Styela clava: one gene and its partner. The protein of the gene in region 2 interacts with the protein of the main gene of each other region in a pairwise test. Links are inferred from orthologs where the notes say so. Each region holds a gene or a part of one and is shown on either strand. Other genes may lie near its edges.

Region 1 (7,234 bases), on a different chromosome or scaffold from region 2:
TATTATTTTTTCATCATTTATTTATTTTTACAAAACTGTTATGAATCCACAACGTGGACCTTAAAAAAAAAAAAAAAATATTTCGATTTTGCCATTCCCTCGGAATGAGTAAACGGCGGCTCTGTATTATTAAAATACGGATGCTGCATCCCGGCCAACGTTAACCACCGTTTGCGATCAAAGCACTGAAGCATGTGGGACATGTGCAGTGCTGCTATTTAACCAAATTTTCCTGTTTATCAGAATAGATTTGAGGTTAGTAGGTCATAGCAATAAGCCACTGAATTTGACTCAAGTTAAAAGCTAAATTGAAATGATAGCCACATGGTACTGAAGTATGGTTCATTTTATTGTAGGTATTGCAAATAGACTTGGTTTGGTTAGAATAGGATTTACATATTTATCCCGTGGGAGAGGAAAGCCGATACGACGGCATATCCATATGGCGAACCATGGCCTCTTGTCCGGTTACCATTCCATGTCGGGACTTGATGGTGGAGGAAGCCGTAACCGACCAGCGGTTACGTGAACCACCCTATGACGGCGAGGAGTCCAGCAATCCTATCGCACATAACCATCCTGCATGGGATTCGAACGTGCGAACCCACGCAGAGTAATTAGAGGTGCGGTGGCGAGCGTATTCCTAACGCTTAGCATGATGAGCCACACCGCCGCGCCTTGGTTTTGATCTTCTATGTCTATATGCAGATATGCTTGGCAGCGTGGTGCTTAAATAATATGCTCGCCACCATACTTCTGATTACCCTGCGTGGGTTCCCAGGTTCAATTATGTGCGAGAGGATTTCTGAACTACTTGTCGCTAATCCCATACCCGACATAAACTGGTAACCGAACGAGAAGCTGTGGTTAGCCATTATGATTGACCTGTCTTAATGACTTACCGATCCGCCGGGATTCATTTGTAAATCATATCCTGTTTCAGCCTTCTTTATAGTCAAAAGTTCTGTGCAGTGCAGGTATACCAACCAATACAGCAGTAACAAAAAATTTTATGTTGTGAAATTAGACTACAAGATGTTCTTGTTTTATAACCTGTTGTAGAAGTGAAATGGAGAAGAAGATAACTATCATAGATTGCTTCCCCAAGCTTAATCAGAAAAAGATTTTGATTTATTACACCATTCGTGCCACAAGAGTAACAATTCTATCATTTGGATATCGTTATATTTTGTTATACGCGGATTCAAGGAAGATAAAAACATTCCGTTTACCAGAAGAAATAACATGTGGAACGATTATCAATATTCCTACAAATGAAACTAATACCGCTGGAAAAGCACTATTATGTGGAACTTGCAAAGGTTCTATTTTCATAATACTGCTTCCGACAACTAAGGAAGCGTTATCTATGTTGAAAAAGGAAGATGCTAGTTACGGCGAAGCTGTCATCAAGAGAATGACTTCTGTATATAAATATAAAGGGATGTATATATTCGATGTTGTATGTAGTGGAGGAAATATACTTATAATTGGTAAAACTGCTAAAAAAGAATTTAAAATGATATTATTTAACCCAAACATACTCCACAATGCTTTGTCAGAGTTGAAAAATGGTGACAATTCGAGTTCTACCGAAAAAGATTTTCATTCGTTTCAGTCTATTTCCATCATGCCTTCTATTCAAGTCAATGATTCATGTCTGAATATTGTCTTATTCAATACAGATGAAAATCCTTTTATTCCATATTTTAATTCACTCAATAATATCCAACATTTGGATTCTTATCTGTTTATGTCTTTATTTGGAGTTAGTTTTAAAACTTCACCAGTTGTTTGTATTTTTTACCCTGGGGGTGATGTTTGGTTTTGCAGTCTTGCTGTTTATGGCAGCTCACAAAAACAATTACATCGTCTTTGTAATTTATCAGAATCATGTGCAGCAGTATGCCCAGTAGTGTTGAGCTCGAATTTTGAGCATGGCTCCAACGATTGTTGTAAAAATGATAATGATGAATCCACTTCAAAACCGGGTCTAATGCTCGTCGGATACGAAAAAACTGTATGTGTGCTTCACTCCTGTGCTTCTCAAGTATCTAAGGACAATGAATTTCATATTTGCTGGTTAAATTTATCCAGCAGTATTAAATCCTTCATATTAGAAAAAAATAATTTATTATCATTTTCCCAAGTTTTTCTTCAAAATATATCTGATTTTACACGGGGTGTAAATATGTCCGCCACCTGTACATATTTCTTTGATGAACAGCAAGTTGGTATAAAACAATTTGATACTGTATGGACTTTTCAAGAATACGAAGACAATTTTTCTATTGTAGTGGTCAATGCCAAATACCTTTTACAGGAGTATTCATTCGAAACATCACATGATTCTATTTCAAAACTATTGAGTGATCTACCATCTCTTTGTAGCCAGAATGATGAATTATTAAATAAATCAAAACAATTAACAAGTATGCTTAAAGCTTTGTCGCAGCTTGCTTCTTATCTTTCATTAGAAGTTGATGATACTAATACGAATGATTCTTGCTATCAAATAACCATTGATGAAGACTTCATTTATATCAAAATTACTAATAAAGATGTTGGAGCTGTACTTGAACCATTCCATTACAATATACACGCTACAATAAATTGGGAAGGCGTTTCTAAGGGTCGTACGCACTGCATAGCAACAAATAACTTCGAATGGGAATGTGGGAAAACTTTCAAAATTCTTCGTTGCGAAGATGATATTGGAAATTCAAAAAATAAAATTTTTGTCAGGTTATTTGCAAATATTACTGGGTTTAACAATATTGACGTTAGTACATATGGCCATGTCGAAAAAAGGTTGAGTAAAACTTTTCCCCTTCTTTTTTGTTTGCGTTAATATTACCGTAATTCCTATATTATAATAGTGCAAATTGTTTATTAATTTTATTTTACAGATTATAAACTCTTTTAACAATTAAATTAGTTCTTATAATGCATTAATTACTTAAAACTGGGAATGTATCATTCAAGTACTCAGCGGAAATATTGGACGTTTAAAAATGATTCAGAAATATCAAAAGCACGAGAGCAAGTGAATCGAGTTTACAGACAATGTTATGTGGAAAAAAGTCCTGAACATGATATTAATGATGATAGTTTCTTTCTTACAGTAAACGAGGAAAGACAATTACTGCGATGGTATGATGACAAACTAATAAAAGAATTCTGTAGACATTTTAATCCTCAAATCCCTCTTACTAGCATTGGAACAGCATGCCAGTACATGAAACGACTTTACCTTCGGTATTCTGTTATGGATTATAATCCAAAACTTATGATGTTAGCTGCGATATGGCTTTCTTGTAAAACTGACGAATTTAATATTTCAATGGATCAGTTTGTATGGAATGTTCATCATTTGTTAAAAGGAGAAGCGAGAGATCATGGCGAAGATTATGCTCGTAAATATGGAGATGCAATACTTTCTATTGAACTTATTTTAATCAAAGAACTCAATTTTCACCTCACAGTTCATAATCCATTAAGACCATTCGAAGGGTTTATTATTGATGTAAAAACTAGATATGCAGGAAGAAATATTGATAAGATTGACATGCTTCGAAAACCTGCAAGGGATTACCTATATACATCCTTTTTTACGGACGCCCAGTTGCTTTTTACTCCTTCACAAATTGCATTGGCATCGTTGCTTTCCGTAGGATCAAAACAGGGTATAAATTTAGATGCTTACGTCACGGAACATTTATTGAAAGGCCAACCGCAAAACGTGTTGGATGATACAGTCAAAAGTGTTAAAAAAATTCGATCCATTATTAAGAAATGTGTTAAACCACCATCTGAATCTGTTGCTATGGCAATAGAACAAAAACTACAGTTTTGTAGGAATAGAGAATCCGATCCATTAACTGAAGAATACGCTAGAGTAAAAAATCAAGAGGATGAAGAAAGAGATAGGGTTGCAGCACAAAAATGGAGAGCTGAAGCACAAAGACAAAAACAAATTGAAATGGATTTACTTGCTTTTTAAAATACATCACTATCAGTTTTAGATATTATTTCATTTTCTCTAAAATTTGCAGTAGCTACCATAAACTGTCCAATGGTTTTTTTGGAGAAGGAAATGACCCTGATAGTTTCGTTTTCTGTTTCAGATGTCCAGTAACATTCTTAATGAATTTAATTATTCTAAAGTACGAATTTGTAGAAAATAAACCATTCATTACAAAGTACCGTAATGTGCTGATTTGAAATACCATAAAGCTGTCATAAACCTTTTAAAGAATCGAGTCGTGCATATTTCAATGTTTTGGTTTAATTAGAATTTTATTGAATTTGTGTCCAATTTCACATGATTTCCTCTTTTTATATGAGATATGACATCAGTGTATATGAGAAATTATCTAATGTAGGCAATTTCATATATCATATGCATGATTATTCCCTATATCATTCTATACTTGGTGAAGTAATAGTTTGACTGGTGGTAGCCAGGTCGCACTCTTTATGCAATGGCATTTTTGTGTCCACAATACTTTGGATGATTATGGTTTGTGTGGTAACATATAACTGCCTTTTTATTAGTGTTATTAAAGATATTTGACTAAAAAGCAGATATTCTGATGTACATGGTAAAAAATGAAGTGATTTTTTGTTCCCATGGCTCTCTTGGCTCTATATGGTATAATTTATAAGCAAAAACTATGGTTAGAAGAAGTGATTTACATCTAAAAGGATTTTCATTTTCTGAATCTAAGTTTTGACAGTGCATTACTTCATTTCCATGAGATTGTTTCAAATTCACACCCAATATGGCAATATCTAAATAGAAATTATTCATGTGCTAGGCGTATACTGCTTTCTAACTGTTTGTGCCTTTTTTTGTTTGTTAAATTCATCAAGTAGTTGTGTGTACCACTGACTAATTTAATTGCCGAAATGTAATGCTTATTAATCTCCCTTCGTTATAGATAGTTGAAAAAAGTCAATGTTGTGTTTCTATGCTTGTTGTTGTGTTTCTAACCACATAGTCATTTCAATAAAAGGTCTGCAGTGATTTTGATGCTTCACAGCTTTAATGTTCCAATCATCCTTTCTAGATAATGTGATTTATATTTTTTTGTTTTTCATCTTCACAGAGCATAAATATGGGTAGATCCAGATCTCGTTCCAGAGAAAGAGACAAGAAAAAACATCGATCACGATCTAAAAGATCACGCTCAAGAGAACGAAAGCGTTCTCGATCAAGAGAACGTAAGAAACATGACAGAAAAAGATCCAGATCTCGATCAAAAGACAGAGATCGAAAATCTCACAAGTATAGTCATTCAGATAATAATAAAACTGATAAAGAATTAAAAGAGGAAAAGTCACAAGATTCTCAAAATGGAATGGTAGTTGAAGAGGAAGAAGATATTCAAAAGCCAAAGGTTCAACCTCTCAGTCTTGAGGAAATGCTTGCCAAAAAGAAGGCGGAGGAAGATGCTGCTGCCAAGCCAAAATTCACTACCAAAGAGGACCGTGCTGCAGCAGCAATCGCCCGAAGGCAACAAGAAGTCGAAGAAAAGCGAAAACAAATGGATGAGATGCGTAAAAAGCAGAGGGAGATATTTAGCGAAGGGAGAAAAATGCTTGAGGATCCATATGATCGAGAACGTAGAGAGCGCAAAGAACGAAGAGCCAAAGATGATGACGATGAACTAGACAAGAAACGTATCGATAAAGACGCAGAGAAAGAATTGTCATCAATCAAAGATCGATACCTGGGTATTGTAAAAAAGAAAAAACGCGTCCGACGTCTCAACGACAGAAAATTCGTGTTTGATTGGGACGCTGGTGATGACACTTCTGTTGACTTCAATCCAATTTATAAAGAAAAACACGAAGTTCATTTGTTTGGCCGTGGATTTATTGCAGGCATTGACGTTAAAGTCCAAAAGAAGTCACAATCACAATTTTATGGAGAACTTATGGAGAATCGTAGAACACAACAAGAAAAAGATTTAGAAAAGAAAAGGATGGTAAATGCTTTGAAAAAGGAGAAGAAACGATTGTGGGATGATAGACATTGGACAAAGAAATCTTTAGAGGAAATGCAAGAAAGAGACTGGAGAATCTTCCGTGAGGATTACAGTATAGCTACTAAGGGTGGAAACATTCCACCACCTTTACGATCTTGGAAAGAATGTAAGGATATTCCAGACGAACTTCTAGCAATCATTGATGGACTTGGTTACAAGGATCCAACTCCGATTCAACGACAAGCTATTCCCATCGGCCTGTTGAACCGTGACATTATCGGCGTTGCAGAGACTGGTTCTGGTAAAACAGCGGCATTTTTAATCCCCCTCTTGATATGGATAACATCACTGCCTAAAATAGAGAGATTAGAAGATGCAGATAAAGGACCATATGCAATTATTTTAGCTCCGACTCGTGAACTGGCACAACAAATCGAAGAGGAAACCATAAAATTTGGTAAAGAACTTGGAATGCGTACTGTTGCAGTCATTGGAGGTTTATCAAGGGAGGACCAAGGTTTTAAATTGCGCATGGGATGTGAAATTGTTATTGCAACACCAGGTCGTCTTATTGACGTCTTGGAAAACCGCTATCTGGTATTGAGCCAATGCACATACGTTGTTCTTGACGAGGCTGATAGGATGATTGACATGGGTTTTGAACCTGATGTGAAGAAAATTCTTGATCATATGCCAGTGACAAATCAAAAGCCTGATTCAGAGCAGTTGGATGATGATTTACTAATGCGAAGCAATTTTCTATCAAAGCATAAGTTTAGACAGACTGTCATGTTCACTGCAACTATGCCTCCTATTGTTGAAAGGTTAGCTAAAACTTATTTGCGACGCCCAGCGATTGTGAATATTGGAGTAGCTGGAAAACCAATAGAAAAAGTAAAACAAATTGTTCATTTGTTAAAGGAGAATGCAAAAAGGAGAAAGCTGTTGGAAATTTTGGGAGCAGGTATCACACCACCTATTATTATATTCGTAAATCAGAAAAAAGGTTGCGACGTCTTGGCAAGATCATTGGAAAAAATGGGATACAATGCTACTACACTTCATGGGGGTAAAGGTCAGGAACAACGTGAATTCGCTTTGAGTGGATTAAAAGAAGGAAGTAAAGATATCCTTGTTGCCACAAATGTGGCTGGACGTGGTATCGACATTCCTGATGTTTCTTTGGTTATTAATTTTGATATGGCAAGGTCGATTGAAGATTATACTCATCGTATTGGACG
Region 2 (3,600 bases):
ATCAAAATTCCTACAATTTTTAATACAGAAAATACACTGGAGGGCGTTTAGATTTAGATTACGTTGTACAACAGGCTGTGTACAGCCAAAGTGACTATAAAATGTTAGAGTCACTTTGTGTACAGGATAGGATACGGTACCGTTCCGTGTCGGGTATGGGATTAGTTAGTTACCGTATTTATTAGACCGCAAGACGAGTGTGAGTTGGGGTGACCCTGGTAAAAAAGCAGCACATACTGTCATACGGTACCTACAGTACCGGTACTCTTCGACATCGGGGCTTAGCCTAGGTATAGTCTGATAGTGGAGTAAACGCTCAAATAATGCTGAAGAAAAATGTTATGTTAAAATACGGCCCAAATTTTCATTTCTTTAAAATAAAAGTACCGTATGTCTCGCACGATACAGACATAACGATATACTCTCTTGATTTTTTTTTGCATGGAACATACTTGCTCAGTTGTAAATTAAGTAGGCTTGACTTTACTTAAACGCGTCTGTCAGAAATTTCATTCCACACGAGACAGACTTGAAAATTTGACCTCCATATCCACATTACATTTTGTTTATCATTGTTTCAGCAGTTACTGCGTTTATTTTCTATTCACATTCTTGTTTGGCATTTTTTATGCAGTTGAAGTATTTACTTTGCTACCCCTGTCTGCTTGTAGGTTAGAATTATTCTCACATGCCTCACTGATTTCTCTTGGTTGCAGAATTGAATAGTAAATTTGAGGTCCTGTTCTTCCTGTAGCCCACTGTCATTCAAAGATTTCAAATGTCTCACATCAGTCACATGTGTTTCTGTTTAATGGTTAATGACTACTGTAACAATATAGTTATTTCTTTGTTTTTTGCATAACCCTAGAAATCACTGTTATGTGAATTTCCCAACCTATGGTGAGAGAGTGGATATAATAATGAACTTTATGTTCGTGAATATAATAACATTATGGATCGAGAAGCTAAATTAGCTGCCGCAAAAAAGAAATTGCGGCAATTTAAAAAGAAAAAGGGATTGAACAAGTCTCCGAAATCAGCAGAAAATTCAGAAACTAGTTCCACAACATCTGATCGTCCCACACCCACGTCAACACCTACTCAAAACCACGCTGATGATATTTTAGAAATTGAAAAATCTGAAAAATTCATTGACGAAAAGTTTGAATTATTGAGAAATGCTAATAGTGATAATCTGTCAGAAAGCACTGCCGCGACGACAGAAAGTATTCTCCAAGTTTCCGCAAAATTAAACGGAATTGCCGCTGAAGCAGCCATGTTTATTGATGATGCAAGTAGCAATCACAGCAGCGAAGAAAAATTTCAAATTATCGACCACCCTAAGCCAGAAGAACCTGAACAGCAAAACGTTATATCTGCGTTAGAAGTCCGAAATCAAGAACTTGCTTCCAAATTAGCGTCATTTTCTCAAGACAATGAAGTCTTGCGCGGACATTGTCAAAACTTATCAGATCAAGTGCAATTGATGCAAAAACAATTAGAAGCAAAAACGGAATCGGAAAATAGACAATTTGAAGATGAAAACGTTTTTCAAGAAAAGCTACAAGTTCAAATGCAAACGATTAGCGTTCTTGTCTCGGAAAAGCAAGATTTACATCAGGAATTACTAATGTTAAGATCGGAATTACACAACCGAAATATTCAACACGAAAAAAATGTTGAAGAAATGCAAACTATGCGAGAAAAGTTAGCTTCTTGTGTAAGAGACTTACAATCAAAAACAGACGAATATCATCACCTTGAAAGAAATAATATTCATCTTCAATCGCAGAATTCAGATTATAATCAAGAATTGATTCAAACGAAACAGATATTAGAAAACGAAAAAATGCAATCTACTGAATTAATGGGAAAATTACAAACTAAAGTCGTGGAATTTAACGAATTATATAGAACACATGTCGACTTGAAGGAACGTTTTGAAATGGCCGATGTGTTACTCCAACAAATGTCAGCGAATAATAATGCTGATGCTGCTTCTCAACTTAGGAATATACAACAAGAAAACGAAACTCTGAAAACTAGGTGTCTTGATTACCAACAAGCTTTCGAACAGATGAACGCAGAACGTGAACAACTGGATACACAATATAATGATACACGAAAAAAATGGGAGAACGATTTACAAAATTTACAGCAAAAAATATCATTGCTTGAAAATGAAAAACAAGATTTGTATCAGCAATGCATGAATTTGCATGAATCATTGAAAACGCTGAATGAAAAACAGAATGAAGAGAAAAATGAAACGCTGGATAATACGGAAAATAACATTGATAACATAAATGATGCTGTAAATGAAGAAAAACAAAAGGCTGCAACCATACAAAATAATCTCCGAGAGGAAATTACAGCGCAACAGAACACTAACCAATATCTGTCACATTTAGTACAAGAAAAAGAAACTCGTATTTACGAGCTTGAAAACGAGCTTGATCAAGTAAAATCATCTATAAACGAACATGAACAGTTGTTAGATAATGCCCGAAGCGATAAAGTAGCAATTTCTCGAGCATTGTTACAAAACAAGCAACTGAAAGAACAACTAGAAGAAATACAGGATGGTTTTGTACGAATGAGTAACGACAAAATGGATCTTGCTACCAACGTGATTTCGCTTGAACATGTAAATAAAGACTTGCAACTAAAGTATGATCAGAGTGAGGAATTACAAGAACAATTAAGACAAGAATTACAAAGGTACCAATTGGGAATGCATCGCTTGCAGGAACAAAATTCTAATTTACAATCGCATTTGAATGCTGCACAATCATCTCATCAAAATGGAGTTGCGCAACCACCTGAAAACTCACAAATTGAGGCCTTACAACATATGATAGCCCAATTGCAAAACGAAAACCAAAATTTACAAGAAAAATTAAATTCTGTTATAGTAATTAACCAAACTGAAAGTAACTCAGAAATAGAACATGCCAGTACAAATACAGATATAATCAATGATGCGTCACATGACAGAATTACAGAAAACGATTCTACCAAAATACCAGAACCAGAAAACGAGACAATGGCAACAGATGAAGATATGCATACTGAACATAACACCGTATCACATGTTCAGAATCATTTTACCTATCAAATTGAAAACAATGGTGTACAACTTGATGCAATGGCCATTCTACAAGAAAAATTTACTGCCGTAATGAAAGAGAAGGCGGATTTGTTGAATCGTTTAGAACTTATGGAACACGCAAATACTCAACTACAGAACGAATGCGACACAATTGGAGAATATATAGCATTATATCATAATCAGAGGCAGATATTGAAGCAGCGACACAAAGAAAAAGATAAGTATATTTCGAACATCATACAAGAACGCGAAGCGATGCAAGGAAAAGTCGAACAGTTACAAACACTGATCGTAGCCGTGCTTAACAATCGCCAAAATGGGGATGTTGATTTTTCTGCATCCCCACCAAGGTTAGATGAATCCTACACAACGATCGAATCTGAAAACCAACAAATTATAGATCCAAAATCATCATTGATGCAAGAGCAGCCAGATCTTGTACCGAAGTCTGATATTTCTAGGGATAACGATTTAACAACACCAACACG

What was found.
Region 1: the proteins of golgin subfamily A member 2-like (region 2) and cyclin-H-like interact in binary tests that used the Homo sapiens proteins (3 or more experiments, as listed by UniProt). The link is inferred for Styela clava from reciprocal best matches to the Homo sapiens genes GOLGA2 and CCNH.

What each region holds. Positions count from the first base shown.
Region 1 is NC_135258.1:10,982,561-10,989,794, forward strand, and holds cyclin-H-like, read left to right. Parts: upstream 1-2,890; 5' UTR 2,891-2,971; coding exon 2,972-4,003; 3' UTR 4,004-5,112; downstream 5,113-7,234. Other genes in the region: putative ATP-dependent RNA helicase DDX23, read left to right, coding at 5,121-7,234. UniProt on the Homo sapiens protein: Regulates CDK7, the catalytic subunit of the CDK-activating kinase (CAK) enzymatic complex. CAK activates the cyclin-associated kinases CDK1, CDK2, CDK4 and CDK6 by threonine phosphorylation.
Region 2 is NC_135250.1:8,082,212-8,085,811, forward strand, and holds the start of golgin subfamily A member 2-like, read left to right. Parts: upstream 1-841; 5' UTR 842-952; coding exon 953-3,600. UniProt on the Homo sapiens protein: Peripheral membrane component of the cis-Golgi stack that acts as a membrane skeleton that maintains the structure of the Golgi apparatus, and as a vesicle thether that facilitates vesicle fusion to the Golgi membrane.